Tamandua tetradactyla: one gene and its partners. The protein of the gene in region 1 purifies or fractionates together with the protein of each later gene. This does not show direct contact. Links are inferred from orthologs where the notes say so. Each region holds a gene or a part of one and is shown in the gene's direction. Other genes may lie near its edges.

The links.
Region 2: the proteins of ESYT1 (region 1) and SYNJ2BP purify together in Homo sapiens (affinity purification with mass spectrometry; 4 studies listed by BioGRID and IntAct, with this or other methods). This does not show direct contact. The link is inferred for Tamandua tetradactyla from reciprocal best matches to the Homo sapiens genes ESYT1 and SYNJ2BP.
Region 3: the proteins of ESYT1 (region 1) and ATL3 purify together in Homo sapiens (affinity purification with mass spectrometry; 3 studies listed by BioGRID and IntAct, with this or other methods). This does not show direct contact. The link is inferred for Tamandua tetradactyla from reciprocal best matches to the Homo sapiens genes ESYT1 and ATL3.

What each region holds. Positions count from the first base shown.
Region 1 is NC_135333.1:123,180,910-123,190,509, forward strand, and holds the start of ESYT1 (extended synaptotagmin-1), read left to right. Parts: upstream 1-5,026; 5' UTR 5,027-5,142; coding exon 5,143-5,532; intron 5,533-7,153; coding exon 7,154-7,195; intron 7,196-7,387; coding exon 7,388-7,522; intron 7,523-7,653; coding exon 7,654-7,727; intron 7,728-7,847; coding exon 7,848-7,920; intron 7,921-8,082; coding exon 8,083-8,172; intron 8,173-8,355; coding exon 8,356-8,411; intron 8,412-8,860; coding exon 8,861-8,984; intron 8,985-9,072; coding exon 9,073-9,249; intron 9,250-9,377; coding exon 9,378-9,460; intron 9,461-9,600. Other genes in the region: ZC3H10 (zinc finger CCCH domain-containing protein 10), read left to right, coding at 1-759. UniProt on the Homo sapiens protein: Binds calcium (via the C2 domains) and translocates to sites of contact between the endoplasmic reticulum and the cell membrane in response to increased cytosolic calcium levels.
Region 2 is NC_135338.1:28,568,266-28,578,906, reverse strand, and holds the start of SYNJ2BP (synaptojanin-2-binding protein), read left to right. Parts: upstream 1-6,457; 5' UTR 6,458-6,592; coding exon 6,593-6,656; intron 6,657-10,641. UniProt on the Homo sapiens protein: Regulates endocytosis of activin type 2 receptor kinases through the Ral/RALBP1-dependent pathway and may be involved in suppression of activin-induced signal transduction.
Region 3 is NC_135335.1:10,995,605-11,006,067, forward strand, and holds the start of ATL3 (atlastin-3), read left to right. Parts: upstream 1-6,699; 5' UTR 6,700-6,741; coding exon of another isoform or gene 6,742-6,883; 5' UTR 6,884-6,934; coding exon 6,935-7,013; intron 7,014-7,088; exon of another isoform or gene 7,089-7,265; coding exon of another isoform or gene 7,266-7,311; intron 7,312-10,463. UniProt on the Homo sapiens protein: Atlastin-3 (ATL3) is a membrane-anchored GTPase that mediates the GTP-dependent fusion of endoplasmic reticulum (ER) membranes, maintaining the continuous ER network. It facilitates the formation of three-way junctions where ER tubules intersect.

The sequences.
Region 1 (9,600 bases):
CCAGGTCGACGTCATGATCTCTATGACATCTATGACCTCCCTGACAGGGGCTTTGAGGATCATGAGCCAGGCCCCAAGCGTCGGCGAGGTGGATGCTGCCCCCCAGATGGCCCCCATTTTGAATCATATGAATATAACCTGGCCTCATCCCGAGGGGTGGAATGCAGGTTGCTGGAGGAGGAGAATGCCATGCTCAGGAAGCGGGTAGAGGAGCTAAAGAAACAGGTCAGCAACTTGTTGGCCACCAATGAGGTGCTTCTGGAACAAAATGCCCAGTTCCGAAATCAGGCCAAGGTCATGACCCTGAGCTCCACTGCACCAGCTACTGAGCAGACTCTGGCCCCCACTGTAGGCACTGTGGCCACTTTTAACCATGGCATTGCCCAGACTCACACTACTCTCAGCAGCCAGGCTCTACAGCCCCGCCCTGTGTCCCAACAAGAACTGGTGGCCCCTGCTGGAGCTCCAGCTGCTCCCCCAACTAATGCTGCACCTCCTGCTGCTCCACCACCCCCACCCCCACACTTGAACCCAGAGATCACGCCACTGTCAGCTGCTCTGGCTCAAACAATTGCCCAGGGAATGGCACCCCCACCTGTCTCCATGGCTCCTGTGGCTGTATCTGTGGCCCCTGTGGCCCCTGTGGCTGTATCGATGGCCCAACCCTTGGCAGGAATCACAATGAGCCACACCACCACCCCCATGGTGACTTACCCCATTGCTTCCCAGAGCATGCGCATCACGGCCATACCTCACTGATGGGGCTACTGGACACTCCCCTGGTTTAGTCTCCCAGGGCCGGGGTCGAGGGAGCCTTATTCACCTACTTGCCTAGCCCTCCTAGGCTCTGTCTGAAGGGCTCACTCAACGACTAGGACAAGAGACTGCCAAGTGCTTCTGAGAAAGGGTTGGGCTGGTGTGTTTTCTCTCACCTCCCTTTCACAAGGGTCCTCTTTTCCATCTTCCTTCAAGCCTCACAGAAGGGGCTTGCATGCAAGTACAGACTGAAGTCAGCAGAGAGGAAAGACTGACTGAGGGGCTTTGGGTTCTGGGATGGGAAGTTGGAGATAACCCTGGTCTTATCCTCTCTTCTGCACAGCCCAGGTTCCAGCACTGGCTTTGGAAGGGGGGGAAATAATACCTATCTAGAGGGAAAGCCAGGATAGATTGGGAAGTAGGTGGCCAGGAGAAAAGACTGGATAGGAACCTTCAGACAATTTGGGGCCCAGTCGAGCTGGACAATACAGAAACTGCCCCTGAACCCCTGGGAAGGCGAGGACCATAGTACTCCAGTAACCCAAAGGCTAGGGGAGCATTCTTTACCTTAGCTTGGCCTGGAAGTTCATAGGGCAGGGCCCACCACTTCCAAAGAAATAAAATAATTATTTTTAACTAATGGAGGCAGTGGAAACTTACTTAGATATTCTTTGGGGGAGGATGGGAGCAGTAGGTAGATCTCATGCTACAATGTGCTAGAGACCTTCATATAGCTTGGGTAGGGTTGGATGGACTCCAGTGAAGATAGGTAGGCACCCAGGAAAAGACCAAGTAAGAAAGGCATTTGTTAGGGTAAAAGCATTGAGAGCCACCTGGTCTATTTAAAAATAGCCCCATCTGTTTTTGGTCTCTGCATGTGCTATTCCCAGGTTGCCTTGGTAACCAGGGCTCCTAGGGTCATTTAGGGGGGCAGGTACTGAGGAGGGTGGGTGCTGGGAAATGGAGATGGGATGATATGTAGCTGGCACATCTTTCCCTTACTCAAACAGAGCAGGACAGGTGGCAATTGCCTCTGAGTGCTTGATGGCAGTTAATGCCTCTCCTACCCCATCCCTTCCTCAGTGACCAATACCTTAAGCCTTAAAGCCTTGGAAGATGCTGGGGAAAGGAGAGTTCTTTTAGGGACATAAACCTCCCTTTGTTCCCTCTGCCTCCACATGGGACCAGAGGTTTTAGTTTTTTGAACCTAATGGCTGTTGCAGGGGAAACAACTGAAGTGTCTGGTCTAGTGAAACTGTGATTTGAGGATAGAGAAAACAGTTCTGGGTTGTTCTCCCCCATCATTTCTCCTACCTCCTGCTCTCTCAACTGGTTGATCACTCAGGTTACACCTGGCATTGGAAATCCTGGGCTGGGTCAGGTCATTAAAAAAAAAAAAAGCCTGGGCCTAAAGAGGAAAAGCTGACATATATTGTTTGTGGATTATAGAAACACATTGATAAGTTTAATGTTGATTTTCTGGCAAAATTCTGGATTAAAAGAGATGGTTTATGAGCATTTAGAGAAGACTGTGATCATAGATACCTACACGAATTATTTCCACTTAAGTCCTGACAAACTGACTTTATTTCCTTTTTGCCAAGTATCACTAAAGAGGTAGGTTTTGGAAACTAGACATTGTATGTCTTGTTTCAATGCACTCCAGCTAAAGACCATAAGGAACATATCTGTAGTTAAGCAGTTGGGCTTAATGATCATTGCAATGAGGAAGAACATATACTATGGGAAATTGTGCTATATTCCAGCAAGTAGTTGTTAAAAAAGACTTACAGCATTGGACTTCAAGTGATTTGGGGAGGATTCAAGGAAGCAGAGGTTCACTGTTGATTGGTGCTGTCAAAGAAGTGGGCAATTCTATAATTCGGTGTCTTAATCTTATCTGGAAAGAGGGTAGACTAGTGTGAGGCTAATGCTGTAATTAGTAAAGAAGCAGCAGTTACTCAGCTGGGAGGCGGGATGTTTGTTACTTTGTGGTTTGCACACTGACCTTGTTTTGTGAAGTGTTTCTGTGTCCATCATAGTCGCTTAGTGACCTGTTTGATATTGTTGTGCCCAAAAGGACAACACGATGGCCTAGCTGTGAGTGCCAGGTCAGCCCCTTACAATATAGTAACCTGCCCAGCATTCCATAGCTACTAAGGAATGGAGCCAGGATTCTGAGGCACTCTGGTCCCAGACTTGGCATATTTAAAGTTCTAATAGAGCCATTCAATAATGGGACCACCAGTTTGTGAGGAATAATACAAAAAAATTTTTTTTTCAAATTTCCTTGCCCCTTTCATTCTGGTGAGTGGGCTGGGACCAGAGTACCACATTTGATCTTATTCCTCCCCAGGAGTATATTATAATTGCAGATTGCAAATCCAGGAAGTTTCAGTACTCTCAATCATCACTTAGGCCCCGCCCTTTAAGAGGCTTCCTTTGACAAAAGGCCATCTCTTCCTATTGCCCACTTACTGCCTATTACCACCAGGTGGCATCCAGGCAGCAGTATTATCAAAGGCCTGGGCCCCACCCTGTTTTACTTCTGCCTGCATTGCAGCTGCTGATTCTGTGGCTCCTGTGCCCCAGCAGGGTCTAGGACTTACTGGAGGTGAGCCTTCATCCCCCTTCCATAGGGAGATCTAACGATATGAATGGGGTGAGAAGTTTGGAAATCACCCTCTGTAGGTTCTCTGTCTATTCCAGTGCTTAGCAAATTTCAGTTTATAGAGAGGTTTTCCTCTAAGAAGGCTCATCCATTTTCATGTTACAGTTCTGCTTCATCAGGAAGTGAGCAGATAACTCATATCTCCAAGCTCTCTGGGCCCTTTTTCTACCTGCTCCCTGACCTCTGGAGATATGGAGGATATGGGAGGCAGATGGAAATATGTTTTATACAATTCTGCAAACTGAATTAAGCAGTCTAAATACTGCCAGCCCCAGGAGGAAAAGGGAAGTGAGAATACTATGATTAACGGAGGGTGCTGGGCAGGGTCAGGTTTTAAGCAATTTTAATGCAACAACCTGAAGAAATCTATGCCCTGCAGAGGCAGCTAAAATGTATCAGCTGCCGATGTACTCTCTCTGCAGCAAACTCTAGTTCCCCTGCTGCTTCAACAGAGTGAAACAATAAGCCCCGCATGTACTGCATTAAAAGGTCATCTGTACTTTATGCCCAACCCTCCCCTCTCCTGTATCCAATTAGTCTCGTTTCTAGGTTCCTGGACAACATCCCACCTTCAAGGCCCGTTAACTAGCAACAATGGTTATCATCAGTGTATCCTGCAGGGTTCCCTTCAGGAACCTGTACAGTACAGTTAGTTCTACACTTGCCTATATTCCAAACCTTTCCAATTTAGGCAAATGAGAAACTGAATCATCACACTACTCTTGATTTCTCAGTGTTCTGGTAGCTCTCAGGTTCAGGAAATTCTTGGAAAGTTATTTCTAGGGCAGTTGAGCTCCCCTCTTTTTTTTTTTTTTTTTTTTTCTTTTAGCCCGTTTAGTTTTAATCTGATCTCAGTAGTGATAGCGATAGCTAACTCTTGGAAATTTCCAAAAAAGATAAAATCTGACTTCCTATTCACCCTTCTGCTTTTTTTCCCCCTCTGAAGGTTGGGTCATCTCAATTTTGTAATCCTCTGGCTCTCCAATTGTCTTTAATGTCTGTCATTCTGCACAGACAAGTTAGGGGACTTGGGACGAAATAGAGAGGGGGATCAGTCATTGAACGTTTTCATTCCAAATAGGGTAATTTCCTTTTCTTTTGTAAGGACGGCCAGAAAGAAAATGAAGGATAAGGAATGTGCTTTCAATATGAAAGCTAGGGAACGCTGACAAATGAACATATGTGAAACCCAAAATCAAATCCTTCCAAACAGTCCGAATGGGATGGAAGGAAATCCTAACGCTCCACAACCCCCCAGTTTCGCAACTCCAGCTCTCTAAAACGAGGTAATTGGCGGTGCGGTTCTGCCTGACGTCATACCACAGGCACTCCAATCCCACGTGGGGGGAGCTCGTGGTCCCGCCTCTCCTCTTTAAATGGTATACCACGCCTCCTCCTCTTCCTGGCCAATCAAATGCCGTGCTTTAGGCCCTTTCCTCCTTTTCCCGCCATCCCGGACCTCCCATCTTGGAACTCTAGTCCAATCAAGAAGGCCCTGCGCCGCCGAAGCCCAGTCTCTTCGGGGCGGAGTTCCGACCTTTTGACTCCTCCTTGGTGTATGGGGCGCGGACCAACCCGAACCGCCAAAGAAGAGGGGCGTGGCTTGACGTCCCCTCCCCCATCCTGGGGATCACTGTTGCAGGGGCAGCTGGTTGCAGGTCTAAGCCACCTCCAGCCGGTCTCTGGCTCGGACGGGTCTTCCCTGAGGTGGCACCATGGAGCGCTCTACTGAAGAGGGCTCCGGCCCCAGCCCCGTGGACCAACCCTCTTCTCCTTCCGACCCCCCTGACCGGCCCCCCACTGCCCACACAGAGCCGGACCTGGGTTCTGGGAGTCAACCTGTCGGCCCGGGGGCAGCAGGCGAGGCCCTTGCGGTGCTGACTTCGTTCGGCCGGCGGTTGCTGGTGCTGGTGCCGGTCTACCTGGCCGGGGCAATGGGACTCAGCGTAGGTTTCGTGGTCTTCGGTCTCGCCCTCTACTTGGGCTGGCGTCGGGTCCGCGACGAAAAAGAACGGAGACTTCAGGCAGCGCGGCAGCTGCTGGATGACGAGGAGCAGCTCACGGCGAAAACACTGTATATGAGCCATCGAGAGCTACCTGCCTGGGTGAGCGGCCACCCTCATCCCTTAGTGCAGCATAGTCCCTTTCCAGCCCCTCAGTTCTGGGGCTTTCCCTCCCTATCCCTTAGGCAGCCCCCATCCCTATGCTGAGTGGGCCCCAGACTTTCCCCTCTCGTCCCGCTTGCCACCTCTCTGCAGAGACGCGCCACTCTTGGGACTAACTGCCCACTCCACCACCACCCTCTTCCCTGCCATTCCGCACGCCCAGAAGCTCATCCTTCCACAGAACCAGGACTTGTTACTCCACTCTTAGGCAAGAGGACTGTTAACATCTGGGGACCCCGTCTCAGCCGAGGCTGCCTCCTAGCCAAGCGGTCTGGAACGCCCCTCCTCGCTTCTGATGCCATTCGCGCCTTATGCAGCTCCCGGGCTTTCCCATACCGGTTGCCGCTCCTAGGGCTTCCTCGCCTTTTTATGCTCCTTAAGACTTTTTACCTACTTAAGACCATTAGGTTTTTCTTCCTTTTGCCGTTTTCTCTCCCGGTACCCGCTGAAAGCCTGCCGTTCCGAGACTCCACATCCGGACGACCCTCCGGCCCGCTCCTTCCAGCCTCGGCTCGGCAGCCTGGCTGCAGCGCGGTGGAGGCGATTGCTGGACGAGGGGCGGGGTGCGGGGAGGAGGATGGTGCGGCTGCTGCAGTGCCCGCTGCCTACACTCCGCCCCCTCTCTGCCCCACCCTTTCCCGACTGTAAGCCGCGCTCTGTTGGGGCAGGGACCCTTATCTCTGCACCCCCTCTCCTGCGGTGAGGAGACCGGATGGCTCCTTTTTGTTTGGCGAAGCAGAGCTCGCTACCGGCCCCTCCCTGCTCCTCCCTGTCCCTCCCTTCATGCCCCTTCCAGTAGAAGTGCCACACTAGGGGGAGAATGGCAAAAGAGAGCAATCAAAGCTGGCACTAGGCAAACACAGACATGCTTCCCAGGCCCTGGGAAGGGAGACGGGGAGAGATGATGTGAGGGGACTTGTAGCCTAGGCAGCAACTGTCTGTTCCTCCTACTCCTCATCATGGAGCTACTCTTCCTCCAGACCCCCCACCCCCATATAAAGCACAGGTGTCCTTCTTTCGCATTAAAGAAGTCGCTGTTAAAAAGAAAGAGGGAAAAAACCCCACCCACCATCATGCTTTACTAGTTCCGGTCTCTCCAACTCAAGGAGCTGCTTCCCTCTTCACCTTCTTGATATAGAAACCTCAGTCACAGGGAGGAGGGAAGCCTGGAACAAGGAACCGGGTCTTCTCCAGTCCCAGGATTCCCTCCCCAAACGTTTATTCATTAGGGCCTCCCCTCCGGGAAGAATGTGCCCTTTTCCTCCTCCTGCCGACTCTGCCCCAGCAGCTGTCGTTTTCACATCTCTAACCTATCCACAGAACAACTTGTGTACTGTACCCTGCCAACTCCCTTGTTAAAGAGGCCTCAGTGTCCCCAAACCCTCTGGAGGAATGAAACTGGGGATACCCCCTCCCCCAACCTCCCAGCATCCCCCCTGGATGTGAGTAGGCCCTTCCACAGTTTGGTGTTCCTTCTCTTCTGAGGATGTACCACCCACTGTCATGGGGGGAAACCACAGGCCAAGGGCGTATTCATCACTGTCTCTGCCTTCCCCACCAGGTCAGCTTCCCGGATGTGGAAAAGGTTGAGTGGCTAAATAAGGTGAGGGTTAACTGTCCTCAATTTTATTTTTCATGAGGAAGAATGGGGATTGGGTCCTCCTGCCCACCTTGGCCACTCCCCAATTCTAGCCCCAGCCTAGTCCTGAATGCTGTGTGTGGGGGGGGGGGGTCTGAAGACTCTTGTCTTTAGAGGGAAGGTTTGTGCTCCTATGACCATCTCCTTTCCTCCTAGATTGTGGCCCAGATCTGGCCCTTTCTAGGCCAGTATATGGAGAAGGTTCTGGCTGAAACTGTGGCCCCAGCTGTTCGGGGAACTAACCCCCATCTGCAAACATTTACATTTACACGAGTGGAACTGGGTGAAAAGGTGTGTAGGGGGGAGAAGGGAAAGTAATGAAAAGGAGGAGATGGGACTGGGAAGGTGGGTGGCTGAGAGCACACTGAGGTGTTCCTCCCTTTCCCTCCCCTCTCTATTAAGAAGACTTCATCTCTCTCCAGCCACTCCGTATCCTGGGAGTCACAGTTCATCCTGGTCAGAGCAAAGAGCAGATCCTTCTGGACTTGAACATCAGGTAATGCTGCTCTTCCCGCTGCTTCATGAGTGGAGCGCTGGTCGTTTCTGGCTTCTTCATCCCCCTCTCCACTTCAGATTAGTACTAACCCTCCTTCTACTCTTCCTTAACCAACCCCAGCTATGTAGGTGATGTGCAGATTGATGTGGAAGTGAAGAAATATTTCTGCAAAGCAGGAGTCAAGGGCATGCAGGTAGGACATATGCCAAGGGTCCCACAATAGGGGAGCCTTTTCCCTAAGTTTCATGGGCTATGGGAAGTTGGAGGTTGGAAAGAAGAAATGAGGCTGGGAAAGTCTTGGAGGGGTGAAGAGGCTTTTCTGGGGAAAGGCTTTCATCTTCTCTTCTTGCTCCAGCTGCATGGTGTCTTGCGGGTGATCCTTGAGCCACTCATCGGAGACCGTCCTATCGTGGGGGCTGTGTCGATGTTCTTTATCCGACGCCCGGTAAGGAGAGACGTTGAGAGGTGTGAGGAGGCAGGGGGAGTGGAGAAGAGAGGTAGGATGAGGGTAGCCAGCTATGGGAAATGGAGAAAATTAACGAGAAGCCTGAGGGGTCTGGCAGCTGTTCGATGGGTGAGATTGTACCACCACATGATCTGTCCTTATTCTCCTTCTCTTTCCTTCCAGACCCTAGACATCAACTGGACAGGGATGACCAACCTGCTGGATATCCCAGGACTCAGGTAGCAAGAACTGATTTGAGCATCTACTAAGTTTTCCAGCCCTGAGTTGGAGGTTCAGGGGACACAAAACAGTAAAAGCAGTAGCTTGTTCTCTCCAGGAGTCTGTACCCTAGTTGGAGAGATAAGACAAATACCCCTAAAAATTTCATACTGTGATTTTCTTTTTTTCTTGGGTGGGCATGGGGGTGGAGGTGGGGGTGTGTTGTTAGAGAATGAAGAAGGTTGAGGACTGCTCAGTGGGGGCAAAAAGAGGAAGAGCAGAAGATGGCAGTGAAGTAGGGATGGAGCAGTCGGTGGGAAATCAGGGCAGAAGAGCAGCCAAAAAGGAGCTACAAGATGGGATGTCCCCCCAGCATTAGGCCACTGCTGGCTGCATGAAACAGAGTTGGGAATAGGGAAAGATTGGAAGTTGGGGCCATTCCCACCTCCTTTTCAACTCCCCTACATAGCTCACTTTCTGACACCATGATCATGGACTCCATCGCTGCCTTCCTCGTGCTGCCAAACCGATTATTGGTCCCCCTAGTGCCTGACCTCCACGATGTGGCTCAGTTGCGTTCCCCTCTGCCCAGGGTATGTTCTTTCCCCCATACGACAGATCCCTCTCTCAGGAACCCTGTGCTGGCTCCTTAGTTTCTTGCCATCTGATTCCTCCCTGCAGGGCATTGTTCGGATTCACCTGCTGGCTGCCCGAGGGCTGAGCTCCAAGGACAAATATGTGAAGGGCCTGATCGAGGGCAAGTCAGACCCTTACGCACTTGTGCGTGTGGGCACCCAGACGTTCTGCAGCCGCGTCATCGATGAGGAACTCAACCCTCAGTGGGGAGAGACTTATGAGGTGGGAGAGCATAGGAGGGGTGTGTATGTGAAATGAGGAGGCCCTGGGAGGTTGTGAGAGAAGATGCTGAGATTAGATGCCCTTCATAACTGCAGCCCATGAGCCACTTATCCCTCTGTGTTCTCCAGGTCATGGTACATGAAGTCCCAGGACAGGAGATAGAGGTGGAGATATTTGACAAGGATCCAGACAAAGATGACTTTCTGGGCAGGTGAGAGTCTGCCTGAGTTAGGATTCCAAAGCCCAAATGCTACCAAAGTCTGGGAGGTAATTACGGTCCTTTTCTGGAATTGTGAATCATTTTTCTTTCTAAGACTCCCTCACTGCTATCACACCTGCACACATGAACAC
Region 2 (10,641 bases), on another chromosome or scaffold:
AACAAGTAACAAGAATATATCTGGGTCTGATGTGGGAATATCTACTATGAAAGCATGAAATAGTGTCATCAGAGACCAGAAGTAACAAGTTCTAATTTTAAAGAGACTGTTGCCAGTGAAATACAGTCAAAGATTATAAGGTTTATCCATTTCTTAATGACGGCACAACATTTTCTTTTGACAGTCTGAAAAAACTAAGGCTGCCTTTTAGAGCCATACATTGTGGAGTTATCCTGAAGGTAACAGCAATGTCAGTGGGATTATGTGAGAGGAATAAAGGTAGCGGAGCAAAGAAATGATGGTAAGGGACAATTTCAGTGCAATCTGAGCAAGTGACTGAATTTAAGTTTCACCATCACTGAAATCCATTCACTCACTGGAGGCCTGTTTTATGCTGGAAACTTTTCCAGGTACTGAAAATACAGCAATAAAAAATGTATGGGGACAGATGACCAGCAAATACAAATATCTAAAGCAAGAACAAACACATTTTATTAACAGAGAAAAGGTCAATGCAAAGTAGTGAGTGAGGGAAGAGTGTTGTAGAAGTAGATGAATTTGAGAGGGAGACAGAGGTCAGATATTGTGGAGCCTTACAGGCAACATTACAGACTCTGACTTTTATTCTAAGTGAGATGGAATTGATTGAAGGATTTTGAACAGGGGCATGACATGATACAATTTAAATTTTTATCAGATTGTTCCAGTTGCTATGGGAAGAATGGGTGGTAGGGGCTGGAAGGGGAAACGGCAGTGGGGTAAACTGTTTAGAAGAATAGCAGAAGTCCAGGCAATAAATATTGGTTTTGATTAAGACAGTATGGCTGTGATGGTCAGATACAGAATATATGAGTACATAGAGATAACTGGGCTTTCTGATGGACTACATGTGGGGTATAAAGGAAATAATGGAGTCAGGAATGGTTTTTAAGATTTTTATGTAAACTGGGTAAACTGACTTATCTGGTAAGGGGAAAGACTAAGAGAGGTATAGATTTTAGATATGGGGATTAGGTATTCTGTTTTTATTATAACTACAGTTGCCTATAAGGTATTCAAATTGAGATGTCAGGTAGGCAACAGGGTTACACAAGACTGATGCCCAGTAAAGAGGTCAAGTTTGGTATAATAATGGCCTTTACTGTCAGGGAACTGAATTTCATTCCTTATGAAGAGAGGGTATGTATACAGAAGAGAGAAGAGTATCAACTAGAAAAGGTAGGGAAGCATCTTCAGGACCGTGGCTTAGGCAATTGTTTCTCAAACTTTACAACCAAAGTACAAGCAACAGAAAAAATAGGTAAATGGGACCTTATCAAAATTTAAAACTTTTACACTTCAAAGGACTTTATCATGAAAGTAAAACAACAACCTCATTTTTCTTTGACTTGAAATACAAACAAACAAAAAAAAAAGTAGAAGGAGGAAGTCAAGACCACTTAGAATTGAGGCAGGTCTACATAAAAATGGAACAGAGAGTACAATGATTTCATCTCATGAAGGAAATGACTGAAATAAAATTTCACAAGCCTTCATGTCCATAATAAACTATATTCATGTAAAAACTATCAATGTACAATTTTTATCAAAAATACAAAGTCTGGATTTTTCTTCTTAGGTTTATAGTAGATTGCCAAACCTCGTATAATCCATTTACTTCTACAAACCTCTCTATTTAACAACACATGCTATACAAGTACCTACATACATACTGTTACTTTAAGAATCATGTTAAATCTCAAACTAGCAATATACTTTTTCTTTTGTGTGTGTGTGTGTGTGTGTGTGTGTGTGTGTGTGTGTGTGTGTGTGTGTGTGTGCATGGGCAGGCACCAGGAATCGAACCTGGGTCTTCTTCAGCACGGCAGGTGAGAACTCTGCCTGCTGAGCCACTGTGGCCAGCCTACTAGTGATATACTTTTTACCCATTATATATACGCTTTATTTTCATCATAAGAAACTTAAGATTTTCCAAATGGTACATTTTAGAAAACGTTGAAAGAGTTTTTAATCAACATATTACATAAAAAAGAATCTTGATTTTTAAATGAAATCTTTTTAGCATTGTGGCATGATGGGTTTAATTTAACAGCTGAAGCATAAATACAGTGATTACATTGTACTGTTTAAACTAATTTACAGCTATAGGAAAGTGATTGATTTTTAAAGTATGCTAACATGAGACTGGGTAGTAATGAGCAGTGAAATACTAGAAAACTAATACTGTGCTGGTTTGAAAGGATTATATGCCCTAGAAAAGTCTTGTTTTAATTCTGATCCAGTATTGTGGGAGCAACCATTTCTTTTAATCTCTATTTAGTATTATAGATTGGAAACTCGATTAGATTATCTCTATGGAGATGTGACTCACCCATTTGTGGGTATTAACCTTGGCTTAGAGGGAGATGAGACTCTACCAATTTCAGGTGGGTCTTGATTAGTTTGCTGTAATTCTTTAAAAGTGGAAGCATTTTGGAGAGAGAGAGAGCAAACGAGAACCACGAGAGTCCAGGCAGCCTGAGACCTTTGGAGATAAAGAAGGAAAACGCCCCTGGGGGAGCTTCATGAAACAAGAAGCCAGGAGAGAAAGCTAGCAGATGTCACCATGTTCGCCATGTGGCTTTCCAGTTGCAAGAGAAACCCTGAACTTTATCGGCCTTTCTTGAGTGAAGATAACTTCTTGTTGGTGCCTTAATTTGGACATTTTTATAGACTTCCTTTAATTGGGACATTTTCACAGCTTTAGAACCGTAAACCTGAAAAATTAAATTCCTTTTTTAAAAAGTTATTCTATTTCTGATAAATAGCATTCTGGCAGCTAGCAAACTAGACCAAATACATAAGATGATTTTTCAGCAGTGGCCATTCATTATTTTGCGTTTATGAATCTGTAAGAAATTGTCTTAAATTTCAAATGTTCTGCTAATTCTAGTCCTTTCTTCGCTTCCTCAATATCACCTTTTATTGCTGAAATAAGTGATTCTAAAGAATCAAAGTTCTTTTATGGTCTGAGTTTGCCAACAGCCACCACATTGAGTATTTCCTCAATTCCTCTTTGAAGGTATACCTGATGTGAGTTTCCATGGACTTTTTCGTATTCTTGTATTATGGGTTCCATACTATGCTCACTACCATCTTATAGACATCTCCACTTCCATCTCTGGCCCAACCATAATAAATGACATTGGCTATATCAGCTGGAAGATTATCTACTTGTTCAGTAAAGTTAACAGTGGGGATACCCAGCTGCTTGGAACCAAGACTGAAGCCCCACCTGGCTGTGGCAGAAGTAGGGCAGGTGCCTCATGATGCCAGGTGCTGGTGGTGCGTGTTCGGCCCAGACCTTGGGTCTGGCTGGGTCACCGTGTAGGTGATGCATGAGCTCTCCTGGACCAACCGGAGGCCACGGAAAAGAGATCGGCCACTCGGGTGCACAACTGGCTGGGTGGCACCGAGGAAGCACCCTGGTGGATCGCTCATGTCACTGACCCAACAGAAGCTACCGGGCGCTTGGGAGGTCACGTCTAAGCCCCCAGGGGCAGCGGCGGCGTTAAGGGCGGGAATGGGCAAGGAACACTACTCAGGTGGGCCGGCAGCACGGGAAAGACCCGATCCGCCCGGATGCTGTAAGGCTCGTACACTCCCAGCCCTCTTCCTGTTAACACACTGTTTCATTTGGCTAGAATTGTGGCAGATAGGGAAGGAGGGAGGGGAAGGTGACTTTATGACCCATCACTAGCAAAGAGTAAAACAACAGGAAGTTCCTTTTGGTACATGAACATCTACTCTTCACTCCAGTTGGCAATGGAAAAGAACCAATGAGAAATGCTGCTCTATCCTTCGTCAGCATAAACAAAAGGGGAGGGGTCCCTCCAAGTCCTTATAAATGCAGGAATCCCAACCCCAGTAGACACTCGCCCCCTTCAAGCCAGTACTTTTGCCACTTATTAAACTTTTCTTGCTGTTCACACTGACTAGTCCTTGAATTCCTTCCTATGACTTAAAAATTAGGCTCAGGGCGTCAGCCCTGCTTGAGGTCTCCACCTCTTGGAGAACTCCTGAGGGCTCTCTGGCATCAGAATGACCTCCTCTTTCTTTGTCAACTGACACATTTATTCTTTTAAACCTGACTCAGCCATGACTCTCCAATAAAATTTTCTCTGTCACTACCAGATTTACTCCCAGACATGGTGAATTCTTACCTAGTTCAGACTACTCTATATTTTTGCTTCTTGTAAATGCCTTTATTACTGTAGATATCCTACCATGTTAACATAATTTGTAATTTTACCATTCTACTTCTTTTTCTAAACTGAAAGAGACGTGCACAGTAGAAGATGTTTTTTTCCTCTTTTCTTTTTTTAATCTTTTAATTTTATATCTACAGCATCTAGCATAATGCCTGACACATTATCAAGTGCTTAATAAATTTGTGTTGAATCAAATTAACTGAGCTGTTTTCCTGAGGAGAACTGGAAGTGAGGATGTTGTGAATCTGATTGAGCTTTTTTTTTCCTGACTGATTTTTAAGTTGAAAAAATAAATTTTAAAATTTCATCTTATTTAATTCATTCAACAGTCTTTTAAAGAGCTATTATCACACTCTTTCAGATGGGGAAACAGTTCAGAGATGTTAGGCTACTTGCCCAAAGCAAACAACAGGAAGGAGAAGGAACTGAAACTTGAGATCATGTCTTCTAGCATCATCTCCTATATTCTTTCCATTATCCATACTAATTTCTTTCAGGGTTAGCAAACAGGTTTTCCTGTTGAATGCCTCTGTCTTGTTTTGTTTAGTGAATACAGTTTTTGGTTTGTTTTTTTAAATCTGAGTTTGAATTCCTTTATGTTGGACTTCAATTTCCAATCCTTCATGGTCTGCACCAATCCCTAGAGTCTAGCTCAAGGCTGTGCCACACATTCAAGTCACCTTCCTGGTCCTTACTGCTTTTGAGTTTTTGACTATAGCAGGTTCCTTTAAGCTGAATCTGGAATGTCCTATCCCAAAAGTCAGGAGGGCTGGGCTGAAATCACAACAAGGTAGTACATATATAGTAAGGGTAAATTTTTAAAAGATTTAATTTTTCTGTTGCCAAAAGAGAAACGGACATTCCCCCTCTCTCTTAGAGAATTTGAGAAAACTTGTCATTGTAAATCCTTCCTCTGTCCCTTTGATATGAGTATAAATCTTTTCAAAAGCTAAATAAGCCTCTCGCTTGGTACATCCCAAAGATATTTTTCTTAAGGGTCTGGGAGCCAACTCTTTGAAATACATATATCAAGGATGATAGTATCTCTATCTCCCATCACCAGAGACGCTGTTAGTCTATGCACCTTCCTCTAAGTGGTAAGTACTTGCTTGTCATCAGGATAGGGAAGTTTTATTTTTCATTTATTAATTAATGCAGACGGCCACCTGCAGAGTGCATTACCAAATAATGTACACCAAACTGTATTGTCAAGTAGTCTTACCTGAGAACATTCATACAATGAACTATATCTGGGCGGGGGGGGGGGGGGCGGCACAAAGCTACACCAGACAAAGTTAAGCAGACAAAGATGACTTATTTAGGGGCTACCATAGCAGGAGAGAGAGAGTGGAACTCAATTCCATCTAAGGGCTGGGAGTCAATTGGAAGAAAAGCACTGGAAAATAGTAAGAGAGATTGATCACTGGGGTAGGTGAGCAATTAACTGAGGTTGCATTTAGGGTGGTTTGATTCCACCTAGATAAGTAAGGGATTTACTAATGTTGCCATTAGGACTACTAGGTCTGCAATGTTTTCATTTGCGTTATTAGGTGGCCTGGAGCCTAGAAGGGCCGGGAAAGAGAAAACGGGCGAATCCCTTATTGAGTAGCCGTGTGTGAGAAAGAGAGAGACCGGGCGGTCCGGGCAAGTTTGATATTTAGAATACAGTCCGACGTTTTCTTTCTTTCTTTTTTTGCTTTCCCCCCCTGCAGTCCGAGTTGTTTTTCTCTGCTGACCCTCAACTCCAAAATTAGCTTCAGGATAGTCAGGGGCAGGAAGCGGGTAGGGGCAAATGAAGGAGTAATGCTGGCAGTTTGGTCAAGAGAAAGGGTCTTGATTACATCTGTTTGGAAATATAAAAAAGTGAGGGTTCTTTCTGTCTGCAATCTCATTAGCTGCCTGCTTGTAATATGCATTACAGACAGATTTAATACTTATGAATAATAAAACACTTTTTCATTTCTATTTTTTATGGAGATTTTCTAGGTTGGCAGGGTATTTTATTTTTACTTTTTCCCCAAGCATAACACTTCATTTCTGTCCCTTACCTTTCCAATGCCTCTCCATGCTTTCAACAGTAAATCAGGATCGCAACCGCTCCCTGCTCACCTCAGGTTTGGCTTGGAAGAGCGGGTGAGGCGACGCACCGGGTCGGGACGAGAACCACGACTCCCAGCATTCCCAGCGCTCCAGGCACCCCCCACTTCCCCTTCCGGTCCGGAGGCTGTTGAAACCGAAAGTGCTGTACCATAGGCGGGTGTAAAGGGGTGACTGATTCACCTTCACCTGTAAGGAGCTCTACCTAACCCAAGTGGGAAGCCAGGAAAGCAAAGCAGTAAAACATGAATGGAAGAGTGGATTATTTGATCACTGAAGAAGAGATCAGCCTTACCAGAGGACCTACAGGTATGTGCCAAACGGGTCCTGCCTGAATTGGGGACTTGGGGGTATAAGTGAATAGCAGACGCTTCTGCCCAGCCGGATTCACTTGGTCTCGGAGCTTGCAGGCCCCAACCTAGAGTTTTCCTGCAACGCTTGCCGGTACCTAAAAGAAATATTTTGACAAACATCGTTGCCCAGACACGGGACTCAGCAATTCATCTCATCTTTCACTCGGATTACCCCGCGTATTTGAGTTAGGAAAGTTTTTTTTTTCCCCCATTAACGGGGCAGAAAAACCTAGAAGAAAAGGCACACGTGTTTTTAAGCCAGTTTACCGTGGATATCACACCGTTCTTTCCGTTGCCTGCTCTATCCCAGTTCCTATGAGGGACCATTTAGTAAAACTGGGAGCATGAACGGTATGGATTCGGAATGCATAGCTGTTTTCGTAGTGCTAGGATCTCCTCTCTTTTCTTTTCTGGGAAAGTCATTTAGAGCCTCAACTAGAATGTTAAAGCGGAAAGAAGCCTGAGGGAACTTCTGTTATAGCAATTCTCAAACCTAGTTCCGCCTCAAAACATCCAGGGTTTTTTTGCCCCCCCCCCCCCTTTTTTAAATAAAAACGTCAATTTCCGTTAGGGATATGAATTCAGTGTGGATTTTTTTCTTCTTTTTAAACAACACCGCATGTAATTCTGATACAATTCAATCTACGATTATCCCTGCTAGCCTCCCTCTTTCTCTCAGCGCTCACCCCTGCCCCCTTCCCTACACACACTCTTAACTCCACTGGGCTATAAATAAATCATCAAGTCCTATGAGTTCTATCTCTGAAATGTTTCTGAAATCATTCCACTTCTTTCTGTTCCCATCATCACCTCTTAGAATTTTTCGATAGCTTAACCATTACATTTATTTGTAATAAAATGTGACTTTCAGAATAAGCCATACTTTGTCTTCCTGTTATAAAAAATTAGAAGTAGACTTTACTTAAGAGAATATCACACTCATAGTTAATCTGCTCCATTTGAGCTCCTAAACTTTTGTCAGAGGTTCATTTATTATGCTCAAATCTCTTGAATTCATTTTTCTTATTTTATGTAAATTTCTCCTCTTATTCTTAATAGTTATTGACTTTTCAAGGTAACATGAAAGTTATTATTAAAGCAACATCTGTCTTTCTTTGCTTTTCATCTGTTGGCCCTAGTTCTTTTCATAGAGCCAATGAAAACAATGCAGACCTTAACTTCTTAGTGTTAGCATTTTTCTGAATCATTGGAGTTAAAATAAACTCCAGGGCACTACTTAAATGGAACAATTATATCTAGCTAATTAGAGACTCAGTTTCTCTATTGTATGTGTATTTATCCACAATGAATGAATATATCCATGGTGTGGCTTCTTGAATTTTCCTAAGCATTTTCATGAGAGCCCATGAATTTAAGAGCTTAGGACAATAGCTCCTCAAAACTAGTATTGAACCTGGATGAAGAAGTCATTGGAAGTCAAGGAAAGGTCAAGTTCCTGTTTATCACTTTCCAGAGCTGGCTACGTGGTATGTGGTACTCCCGAGAAGTCTAAGAGTCAAATTCAGCTTTTCTTCATTGTATCATATGAAAATATACAGGGAAGAACTCAGTTATCACTAGAAACTTCCAGATAATTTTGGTCATCCCATAGGGATCTTTCTTTCTATAGAAAAATAGGAAAAGCCACTGGTTACAAGTATGCATTTCTGTTTGTATGCAGCATTCTCACTTCTTATGATATCCTACCAGGAATCCAATAGTTTACTTTTGCAGCACGTAGCTTCTACTGTTTGGGCACATTTTGCAAGGCAAAAGAACCTATTCCTCCCTGATCCTGCTTCTTGCAAGGGAAATAATGAATGGCAATTAATTGAGTGTCTGGGAAGACAAGAAGAAGCTTGGCATCTATCTTGTGCTTACTTCCTCAACTGAAAGGAAAGGCTTGGTCTAGAAGACTTCTGACGCTTCTTCCTACTCTAACAGTTCATGATTCTTTGGCTTATTCCATATATTATTATATGATTCCTACCATTTTGTACAAACTGTGGTTGATCTGAAGAATCCTCAAAGGCAGTGGTTACAATCTGAAGTGCCTTCAAGGTTTGGACATTGACCTTTTATCTTAGTTTGCCAGAGCTGCTATGACAAATACCATACAGTAGATTGGCCTAAATAACAAGCATTAAAAAAATTGTCTCATGGTTTTGAAAACTTGAAGTCCAAAATCAAGATATTAGCAAGGCCATACTTTCTCCTGGAATGGGTAGCAATTTGGTGATGGCATTCCTCTGTCATATGGTGTTCTGCTTCATTCTCTCCTTCTGTGGCTTTCATTGACTTCTGATTTCCCTGAGCGCTTCAGAATTTCCTCTTTTAATAAGGTCTCCTGTCATATAGATTAAGGCCTACCCTCATTCAGTTTGATCACACCTATATAAGGACTATACAAGATCCTATTTTCAAATGAGTCCACTTCTTGACTCACTTAACATTTTCAGATATATCATTGACATCTGTGTTCACACCCGCTGGAATGTTGATTAAGACTTGAACTAGTCTTTTGTGAGGTATATGATTCAATTACCAACAGCTTTTATTCTTTGTGGAATACGTCACTTTTCTTTTTGTGGGAGCCCAGCTTGGTTATAGTCTATAAAGCTCCCTTTTTTTTTTCCTGTCTCAAATTGAGAGTTTCTGATATTTGAATGTTGAACTCAGTTATTCTGAGAATTAAATCTAGCTTTTCTTTACTCGAGCAAGTAGAGGTTGGCAAGAAGACAACCTCTTCATTTAATAATAAATAATTAACAAAGTATGTCTTTTCTCACAGTGTGCTAGTTATCTTATATATATTAACTCATTTAATCTTCATAACAACCTTGAATGATGAGTGTTTAATCCACATTATTAGATGGAGGAAATTGTCTCTCAGAGAGGTTAAGCACTTGCCTAATGTCTAAAGCCCGAAATTTTCAAGAGCCAGGATTTTAACCCGGGTCTGTTGATTCTGTTGTACCATATACTGCCTTCCAGTGTGGAACCTGTGTCTAAGGAATTGACTGCCAACCTTTCCCCTGACCTTTATTTTATTATCTCATGGTCTTATTCCCTGAAGGATTTGAGGCAACGTAAATGACTGTTGAACGCAATTCACAGTGGAAATTTTTTTTAGTTTACTATGGATAGAGCTGAGGGCAGATCAATGTGAGAACCTGAGAATAATAAACCCCATTAAGTTCAACTCTTTAAGCCTCTGCAAACATGTTCTTTGGCTTTAAGCCTAACTGAGACTGCTGCTAATAGTATTCTGATTTCTTTCTTTCTTTTTTTTTTTTTTTTACATGGGTAGGCACCGAGAATTGAACCCGGGTCCTCTGGCATGGCAGGCAAGCACCACCATGGCCGCCCCTGATTTCTTTCTTAATGTATGGAATTATCTGAGATCAAAGACTAAAATTCCATACGTTGCCCTATTTTCTCATACTTACATAGAGTCTAGCCTTCATGGAATTTGCAGTCGAATAGAGACATGACATTCACATAATCTCAGTGCAAAAGTACAGATGGTTAAGAATAATGATGAGATGTCTGGAGTGGGAGGGGAAAAGGAGTTGTAGAAGGGAGATACAAGTGTGTTTATCTGATTCGGTACTGGAAAATTTCAAGGAATGGAACCATTGCTATGGACCAAAGTGTTCAGTCACAAAAAAATGGAACTTGCGTTGGTCTTATAGAATGGTCAGGCATTAGGTTAAAGCCAGGGATGGGAGTGGATATGACCTCAGTAATAATAGAGAGAAGAGCATAAGCAAAAAGTATTCTCAGATCAGTGAATTAAGCAACCTGGATAGAAAGGAGGGTTCATTTAGGTGTATCAGTGGAGATAAGGTTGCTAATGTAAGTTTAACATTTCTCTAGGGTTCCATCTTGATTCTTTCCTCTCTCTGTTCATTGGTTAAGATGCAATTCAAGAATCACCT
Region 3 (10,463 bases), on another chromosome or scaffold:
GGGCCATGGTGGTTCAATAGTCAGGGTTCTCATGTGCCACGCTAGAGACCTGGGTTCGATTCTCGGTGGTTGCCCACGCAAAATAAAAAATAAATAAATAAATAAATAAAAAGGAAACTGGAAAATCCAACAGGGTACCAAAGCTCTTAAACAGGTGGAAATCCAGTATTAACACAGAGAATATATTTAAAGCTAAGATCAGAAATATTTTGTTCTTTAGAAAGATCAGTTCAAGATGCTGGCGAAGGAGACAATTAAGCATTTTAAAACCTCTCAAATCATTTGACATAACTCAACGGGCAAAAACGGTATTGTCCCAATCTCTAGACCTTCCTTTACAACATGTTTTTTGGTTTTTTTCACTTTCACAGGCTCAGTTCCTTTAAGATCCACCACCTGCCCATGCTGCATTTTTTTTCTTCAAGAAAGCATCTGCACTGCAGATCTTTGTACGAGGGGAGTTTGCCAGCCAGCTCCCACCAGCAGGCAGACGCCTATACAATGGAAACTAAAGGCGGCTTTGCAGCTTCCCTAGTTGTCTTTCAGAGATGGAAAGAGAAGGGGGTTCAACCAGTCCCTGGCTTTGTCTGAATTTTCTCCTCCCTCCCCCCATACTGCAGTAAACACCCTCTTTTGTTACACTGCGGTCAATAACAGCCCAAAGAAAATATGAAATCAAAACATATTGGTGGCTTGACATTACTCCCTATTTATTATCTTCTGGAACATTAAGCGACGGATCGCAAGCTCCCACCCCCAAGCCGCGCCGGAGAAGAGCAGGTTGTGCTGCAGATGCAGCCACGGATCCATCATGGACGGACCATCAACAGCTCCCTCCCAAATCTTCCCTGAGCCATTCTCATCACGCTTTCTCCTACCTTGGAGCCTCGGGGAAAAAATCAGACTCTGTATTACAGAGTCCATAAAAATTAAAAAAAGCAGATAAAAACAGCAAAGAAACGTTACAATGTTCCTATTGAACGCCTTCATCCACCCCACAGGCGACCAAAAAGAAAAAAAAAAGATCGAAGACTACAATGAATGCCTGATTATGTCAACACCTGCCCGCAAATCTGCAGTGCAACCCTTTCACCACCACCTGCGTCAAAATCATGCCTAATTATTTCTCCTATAGTCAATCCGCCCGCCCCAATCCTCTTCATACCCCCTTAGTCTCTTTAACCCTCCTGGACAAAATCACCCCCGTTCCGTAGATCGCTCTATCGCCCTCCATAATCCCACCCCCACCTGCCAGGCCTTTGCGTTAACGCCCACTTTCTAGACTACCTCCCCGCCCCCAACCTGTTTTCCACACACCCCGTTATTTCCTCACCGCTTGCACGACCTAACTCTCCCCTCCCCCCGGGCCCATTTTCCCAAACGCTTATCCTCGGGGGCTAAATCCACCAGTAGCCGAGGGTGAGTTGCCTTTTCCCTACTGAGGGAAACCGCCACGGTCCCCGCTCTAGGGCCCCCGGTCCCAGCTCGCTCACCCTCCCCAAGGCGTGGGCTCCCCCAGGGTCTCCTTACCCGCACAGGAGGATCCGCAGCTCCTCGCCCCCAGGGCGGGGCAGGCTCCCGGGCTCCCGCCGCCGCTGGGCGCGGAGGGCTCGGCCCCGGAGGACGACGAGGAGACGGACGGGGACTGGGTGGCCGCCGACAGCTCCGCCATGGCTGCGTGAGCAAGGACCGGAGGGGATAAAGAGAGATGTGGGGCGGGAGATAGGGAGGGGAAATAAGATTATCGGGTGGCTGGCTGTCCGAAGTCCCTTCACTGCTACTGCTCCGGGGAAAAGACTCCGACTGACTGACTGACTGACTCAGCCGAGGAACAGGAGGGCGGGAGCGCGAGCGCGCAGGCGCACAAAGGACCCGCGAGCGTGCGGCGGGGGAGGGCAGTGGCCGAGCCGAGGCGCCCAACGGCGCAGGGCGCAAGCGCAAGAACTGCTCCTCCGCGCTCCCACAGGAAAGGAAGGGCAGAACCGGCTTCACGCGGCGCCCTGCCGGGGCGACCGGAGTGGGGAGCGCCGCTCCGGGACCAGGCGCAAGGGGCGTGGTCAAACTCAAGCCCCGCCCACTGCCGCAGCCCAAGCCGGTGAGGGGTGGCCTTCGGGTGTTTTTCCTCATGTCTATGTAAATGTTTTAGGGGCGACTGTTTTTGTATTTTGTAGGGCAGAAGTTTCTTTTTGCTTACACTAGCTGCAAAATATATTTTCCATAAATTCCAGAGACGATGCCTCTTGTCACAGCGAATCCCTCCTGGGACGCCTATGAAAACTGACCCACACTGTTGAGTAGGCCCAGGCTGCAAGGTGTTTTATGAATTTATCTGCATGTGTCGTAATATCGGATCACCATGAGAGAGGAGGCACGGTCTCTCATTTGGTAGGTGGGAAATGATGCCGTACAGAGTGAAGAATGATTTCTCATTCCAATCACATTACATTGCAGCCTCAGAACCAGCTTCTTACCCTTATCTTGTTACTATTTCAAAGAGGGGTTCATTGTAGATGTTAAGTTGCCCTCTTCTCCCAATAGCTTCTCAGATAGGGCATATTTCGAAGGAAGAAAAAGGTGAGCTGGGTTGGTTGGCTTGTCAAATTCAAATCCTTCTCCTTACATCTGGACAAAATATTTGAAAGGTACATAATCCTTTAAATCAGGGGAATGTGTCCTGGAAATAATAAAATTCAAGGCTGTAGGTTTTGTTATTGCTCAAGCAGCAATCAATGATCTGAAGGATAATTGCAGAATCAGCAGATCCTGTAAAGATGCAAGCTCATGGTGGGGTGGGGGTGGGAGCCCTGTTGTCAGCTGGGAGGGAAAAGCATCTGACTGGTGGAAATCTTCTAGAACAGGTAGTGGACTATGTCTGCCCTTGATAATATTTAAGGTTAGGTAAAATCCAGAGAGAAAACAATAACAACAAAAAAAATTCCTGGCCATTGCAACATTCTGAAAAAGGCACAGAAGAAAATTTCCCAAAATAACTTCGTGGCAAACATCTTAGTCTGGCACTTACAGTAGCAGCTGATAATGCAGCAAGCTGTCCTTTAGATGACAAAGGGAAATATAAACCGATCTGATAATCAAGGCTGCTGTATATCCACTGGGATAAACGCATAAAAAAAAGAAATCTATGTCATTAGGTGCTTGATAAAGAAATGAATGATGCTGGTCCCTAATCCTTACTACAACTGCTAGAATCTGGAGACCTGGCCTGGCAAGGAAGCCCATTTCCATGGGATCTAGAAGCAGAGAGAAGAAGCCAAAATACACATTAATGTGGTCTTGGTGATCTCTTCCCACCCTTCAGAGGCCTTTGTGAAAGGTTCAATTGCTGAAGCTGACTTTCCTTCCTGTTCTTTATTGCTGTACCAGTCAACTTCCCCAAAACCTGATTCCTGCTTGGGAGGTTTGCATATTTGTATATATAATTTGTTCCACTAATGTTTACTGACCACATGCTGTGAGTATAACACTATGCTGGGCACTTTGGAAGGATCCAAAATATGTATGTTGTCCTGTCTTCAATGAGCTTACAAGCTAGTTGGGGCTTACAACTTACTCACATAAAATTAAATCATACAAATTAAGTAGCAACCCAAAACAGCCTCAAATAACACAAAACCACAGTGCTATGATTAGGTGGCAAGTGAATGGTATTAGTTTAAAAGGGGATGGATCACCATGGAGTTGTAGTGGCTTGGGAAGGTTTTATGAAGAAGCTCAAGCTTAAAAGATGGATAGGAGTTTGTAATAGTGAAGGGGTCATCAAAGGCAGGAGAGGATGGTGTGGACCAGAAGGAGGGGCTGCTTTTGTGCAAATATACGATAAAGGCACTTCACTGGGCAGATGAATTACAAAAAAAAAAAATGCATCCCTTTCACCCAGCAGATGCAGTTCTATGCTGACTTGTCTGGAATAACCTAGGTTCCATCCACTCCTGTTCCTCTCCTCCCCTCCTCCAAGGTATAATTTGTCCCTTGGTGGTACAGACTACACAGTCGTATGGTGGTGGCTGGAGGCTCAGAAATGTGAACAGTGTGTAGGAGGTTTGGGGTGTGGTCAGACCAGATTTGCTAAAGCTGGGGGCTTGAATCAGGACAAGAGGGAGATAAAATGGGGACAATTTGTTGGGGTCAGAATCTGCAGAAGCATTCACAGTGCATTAAGGAAGTGAGGTTTTGTCTTAGAGCTAATGGGGATTCAGTAAAAGGTTTTGGGCAGGGGACGCTCAGAAAGGATTTTTAAAGTATTCATTGGAGCATCCACTTCTCAGGAATTCAACTAAACAACTTGTATAGATTAAGCACTGTGCTAGGCCTCTTCTTCCTTGGCTTTGTCCTTACAGGACTCGTATTTACTCAGTTAATTTCCCACCTCAACTTCTAGGCCATCTCGTTACCCTATTTTATACATAAGTAAAGTAAGGCACAGATATTTCAATGATGCTCAGGAATGCCAGTTCATCCCTTATGAATGCCCAGACTATTGCTTGAACACCGATTCTGCAAGTAGGAGATAGGAGAGATGGTGAACTGAGCCCCAGCATAGTCACAGCGAGTGGTAATCCTTTGTTTACTTGACTGTTTACCCCACCAGACCATGAACCCTGGAGGACAGGGATGTGTCTTATGCATTGTTGCAGCATTACTGCCCAGCACCCATGCCTGGCCTATAACAAATGCCCTATTTTTGGAAAGCTTTGAAACCTGAGTCATTGTGTATGTTTATTGCAGAAAATAAGCTTGCTATTCTTGTACATCATAAAATACTTTGAGTGTCTTGAATATTTATGACTTTGTTTTGCTTTTCCATAAAGAATGACCATCAATTTTTGAGCACTAACCACACATCGGTCATCATTTACATCACTTATAACTCATTTAACTGACAACTCTGAATCATTTTGCAGCTGATGAAATAGGTTCAGAGAGGCCAAGTAACTTGCCCAAGATTGCACAGCCCGTGAGTATTAGAGCCAGAATTCAATGCCAAGTCAGTCTGACTTCAATGCCTGTGTCCTTAACCACTCAAACATGTCTCAACGTTACCTACTTCTGAACAACAGAGAAGGTTCAGCCTCCTAGTCAGACTACATGATTCAATTCAGAGTGAAACTGCTTAAGGCAGAAAGGCTGCAATCAGTATCATCAATATTTAGCATTTTGCATGTTCATTGTTTTGATGTCCTTGGGTGATTGAGAAGGAAATAAGAGAAACAACAACAAACAAACCCCACATTTCCTGTTTATAAGGTTTACTTTCTAAGCTGTGACTAATCTAAAGTCCACCACCTATAATTTGTACCATGTTGTTCTAAATGCTGGGAAGCTTGTATCAGGTATGGGGAAGGCTGATGCAGTGCTAACATTGACCCTGAGGATGTCTTCATATTGAGAGAGATATAATGTCAGTATTTGCTTTCACCTCCTGACAGGATGGACTGAGAGCCTTCAAAATAGAACAGGGCATTTTGTTCAGAGGTAAAAGGTACTTAATAGTAAAGGAATAAGGAAGTGAATGAGCCACGTTAGGTGTAACATATACCTTCTACTTCTTCATTCATTCATTCATTCAGCAGATACTTGAGTTTCCACTATCTCCCTGGCAATGTCTGAGGTATTGGGGAGGAAGGAAAAAAATCCTCTTTTTAGAATTTACATTCAAGTAGAAAGAGACATACAAAACACTAAGTAAGTAAATTAGATGGTAAGAAGTCTTATTGGAGAAAAGTAAAGCAGGGAAGGTGAATAGGGAATCCAACGGTGAGTGTGCAATATTAAATTCTTGCACAGTGTGCTGCAATTGTGACAAGTCATTGACCTTTGACCCCTCCTTTCTCTTTCTCAGCATGCCACATAAAGCCCTGGATGTGTGTCACAACCTACAGGTCCTACCTTCTGCATGCCAGTGTGAATCCTCAGTAACCATTTGCCCTGATACACACTTCTAGTTGTTTGCTGGCCCTAGTTGGTCTAGATCTGATCTAGACTTTTAAATCTAAAGCCCAGAAGAGGGTATTCAGATAATCGAGAGTTTGAGAAAATCCTAAGGTTCAGGGGTACAGAAATCAAAGAAGGATCTCCTTAGGTAGGATTAAGTAGAATTGTTTACTTCACCTTTGTCCTAACCACTCAGGAATAAAAAATATTTCAAGGGCATGGGAAGGCCTACAGTTGGCTGAATACAGCTCCTGGGTAGGTTATAATAGTCGAGGCAGAGGGAGAAGTAAGTGGAATAATCTGTCCAATGAATGAGGCAAAGTTAAGCGAAGAGGGTGACTGGGAATGGATGCTTTAGTCTCCCATAAGCGCCAACTATTTAGCCCCGAGCTACCCCCACCCAACAAACCCAAAAAACAATATTGTTCAATAGTGCCAACTAACGTTTTCTTAATCACAGGTAAAGTGTGAATTTTAGCATCTTCGGAGAACCTTGTTCAAAATTTGTGCTTGCAAAAGTCCCTGGAAACTTCAGGTTTACAAAAGACAGCCGTGGCTTGGGCTGGGCAAAGCCGGAGGAAGGGGTCGCACTGGAAGTTGTTCCGGGCCCTATTAGAGTGCTTACGATACAACATAGGCTCGGTCAGGGCAGTAATATGGGCTGCAGCTGATGGTGGTAATGAAGTCATCAGCTCCTCTCCTTGTGAAGTCAAAATCATTAAAAATTCAATGCCATTCACGTCACCCAGGGCTGAGACCTCTGTCCGGTCCTTAGGGCAGGGTGCCGCCTACCTGTGACCCGGGCCAGTGTCACACACAGAAACAGCTCCAAACGCCGCCAGCAGGGACCAGAGGCTGCTGGGTGGATGGGTGGGGGCGCCGGCCCGCCCTTCCACGCCTCCGCACAGCCTGCTGGGAGTTGTAGTTCAGTCATGGAAAGACCGCTCCGAGTCCTGCCTTCTCTTCCGCTTCCTTCCCACCCCAGATGAGGGGGCCAACCTGGGATCCAGAGAGTGCGGGACTACAATTCCCGAAGGACCGTCGCCTCCAGCGCCCAGCTCCAGGTAGTCGGCGGCGGGCTCCGCAATCTCGCGCACGCGCATCCGCACCCGCACCCGCGTAGCGGGAGTTGGCGGGACCCGCCCAGCACTCGCCTCTCCTCGCGCTCCGGGTTGGGCTTTGCAGACCCATTCTGGCGGCTCGGCGCGCGCCTCGGTCTCCCCAGTTTCTTCTAGAGCCCAGGCCCCGCCCAATTCCCGCCCCAGCCCGCCCCTCTCCTCTGCGCCCCTGCTGCCTCTGCTTAAGGCGGAGGATCCATGTTGTCCCCTCAGCGAGCGGTAGCGGCTGCCTCGGGAGGAGCAGGTGAGGCGCCCAGTTTCCCCCCCCCGGACTCTTTCCGTGGTCACCCCCGTCGCCTTTCCTGGCGCAGCTCCCGGGGAACCGCCCGCGCCGCCGCGTTTGCTTGTCACGGGGCTGAGCCCGCGCGTCCCTCGCCGGGAGTCCCTCGGCTAGAAGTCGGTGCCGCGGCTCCTCGCGGGATTCGGCCAGATGGCGCGCGGGCGGCGCCTTCCTCAGCTTCGGGGCTCGGGCGGGCCGCTGCGGGGAGGCCGCCAGCGCTGCTCCGGACCGCCGCTGCCCACCTGGGGTCCCCGGTGCCCGCCCGGGGACAGCGCCGAGGGCCGGTGGTCCCCGGGGGCGGCGCCCTGGGCAGGGCCGGCGCTCCGGGGCTCCGCACGCTCTCGGGTCGGGAAATTTGGGCCTTAACGGCCCAGGATGGAGCGGGAAGGCAGATGCTTTATTGTTCAGCATTTATTGAAGTGTTGAAAGGCTGCGAAGTGTCTCACAGTTGAGAGCTTTATTTTTATCCCAACGACCTTGGGAAAAGTATTCGGAAACTTGTTTTTCAACCCGCATGTATAAGGAGATTAAAGAACGTGGCCTTAAATGGGTTTTGAGTATGTTCTTTTAGTTCAGTGCTTCCCACCCCCCCCTTTCTTGAAGACATTAGCGTAGGAAAAGTATCGAATAAAAACCAAAAAGGGAGTCGGCACAAATTCCTGGATGTGACTTCGGCTGTCCTTTTACCAGGCTTTAGTTTTGCTTAATCTGCTGTGCGCTGTTGAAATTGGCAGCGGGTTCATTTGGGAAATAAATCTAAAAGAAAAAAAAGAAAGTGTTTGAAGAGTCTTTTAATGAGTAGATCCCAGTCCTCAGACCTGACTAGGAAGTTGGGGGAGATATTTTGTGAAAGCCCGAAAAATTCTAAACAGGAGTCCCCACTCCCGACCCCCCCTCCCCCCGGCAGACGACAACAACAAAAATCCGTGCCACTGCACATCACTTTCTTCTGGGTGAGAGACAGAACCTTCGTAGTTATTCTATCTTATGTATCCAGTATTCGGCACTGCAGGGTAGTCCTGAAATAAACGAATTTTTCCTTATTCCCAGCCGTACAGAAACTAGTTTATAGTGTAGAAAAGCCCTTTAGTGCTTTAACACCTGTAAGGGAAAGCATTTGCTGAAGCATCGTACTAGTAAACATTATTTTACTAACTACTGTTTACTCTGTAATAATGTAATTAAGAAAAATATCAATAGAGGATCACTGATGGATAACATAGTTTTCTTAATTTACACTAAATAGGGCTTATTCGGAATAGGCCTTTTAAAAGAGCTATTAAAAAATGGGTTTTATATGGTGCAGCACACATGTTTTTGGTTTCAATAATAGACTAAAGAATATGCCCACCCTCATTATTTGAAATAATAGAGAATGGCATGAAGCAAGAAATAAAAGTCCCCTCCAACTCCCCAGTTCTCCTGTGTAGCCATTTTCAACAGTTTGACCACAGATTCTTTTAAGATTCCCATGAAGTCCCTTAGAGAACAAAAGGTGTGTGAATTTGTTTCAGAACTGGGTTAGAATTTACCTATTAATGCAGGCATGCCTGTTGAAGTTCTTTATGGCTTTGTGTTTGATATTGAGAAAGTGTTCAAGTAACACAACGACGTTTTAGTTTGAATTTTAAAACATTTTCCTGAGTTATCTTTGAAGCTGTAGGAGGTATTAGCTAATACACACTAAGGGGGAAAAGTAAGACGAAAGCTTTCTTTGGGAAAAAAAGGCTTTCAGTCCTTTCAGGCCAATCCGTTTAGAGCAGTGATTCTCCTTGCTACTTTACATTAGAATCACCTAGAGACTTCTGCCAGTGCCACTCACATTTTCTGATTTAATTCATTCTGGGGCCCAGCAACAGTTAAGAAAAAAAAAGCCCTAAGTAATTCTAATTTGCATATTAGTACATAGTCAAATTTCCTCGTAGGTAGTTAATTAAATCTGAGTGTGTTTACTTCAATAAAGTATAATTTGTAATGATCAATATTTTTTCCTCTTAAAATTATTTTGAAATAATTTCAAACTTTATCAATATTGTATTGAGAATTTGATGCTCTTATGTATACATTTCTAAAAATTGTTTTTTATTGACATGCATTTTGATACCAGTAAACATGTCATGTTTATTTCCCAGCTAAAATATATTATGAATAAGGAAAAAAGCTTTAATGATATAGTAGGTGAATATGCAAAGAAGTAAGAGTAAGTGTATTTATACGCTGAAGGGGAAACAAAGCCAAATAAATATTGCCAACTGAGAAACCCTTATTTAACTAGAACGCAGCTAATTATAACTTTCAGGTAGCCAGATTGATTTTGATGATGTCCTCACTTTTGAGAAAGAGGCAAATAATATCACTTGTTGAACTCATTCTTTAAAATTTTTTTTTCTGTAGTAGGCCTGCAAGCATTTTTATATTCCTCTCAGTTTCTGCATTTTCAGAATCTTTAATACTGTTTAGTCATAACTTACCTTCATAAACCCATGAACCATAGCAGAATTCTCAGTCAACAAAGAAAATGTGTTTTTTTCCAGTACTGTGTTGTGGCGCAAGCTTTTCCAGCAAGTTAAGATAAAGCTTCCTTTTAAACTCTCCAATTATTTTTAGTATACAAATTTTCCCCAATATTCTTTTTAGTTGGGCTTGACTAGTAGTTTCACTGAAACAAGCTTACAGATACATGTGTAAGCACGTTCACTGCTGTAAGACAAACTAGAGTATATAACTTCCCCTTCCTTCCCCTCCAGGAAAAGAATCACTCCCAACAGATCTTGAGTTGGCTGAGAACTTAGTATACTTAACCTTGCACATATGGTGATGTGTTTTCTTTGGCTTTGTGAATTAAAAAGTTTAAAGACTGCCAGCAAGAAGAAGGCATGAAAATGGTATGCCTCTGTTTTTTGGGTTTGTTGTTCTTGCTTTTTAGAGAATGTGGTATTTCAAACGGAGAGTGGAAAACTGAAGTCATAACTTTGCCCTGAGTCATGCACGCCACTCAGTGTTCCTTTAACTTTAGTTAGTTTGGTTTTTGGAACTTGCTGGACAGAGTATTGAGCCTGGCTCTACCCTAGTAGTTCTCAATGCAGGGGAATTTTGCTATCACCACCCACTCCCTC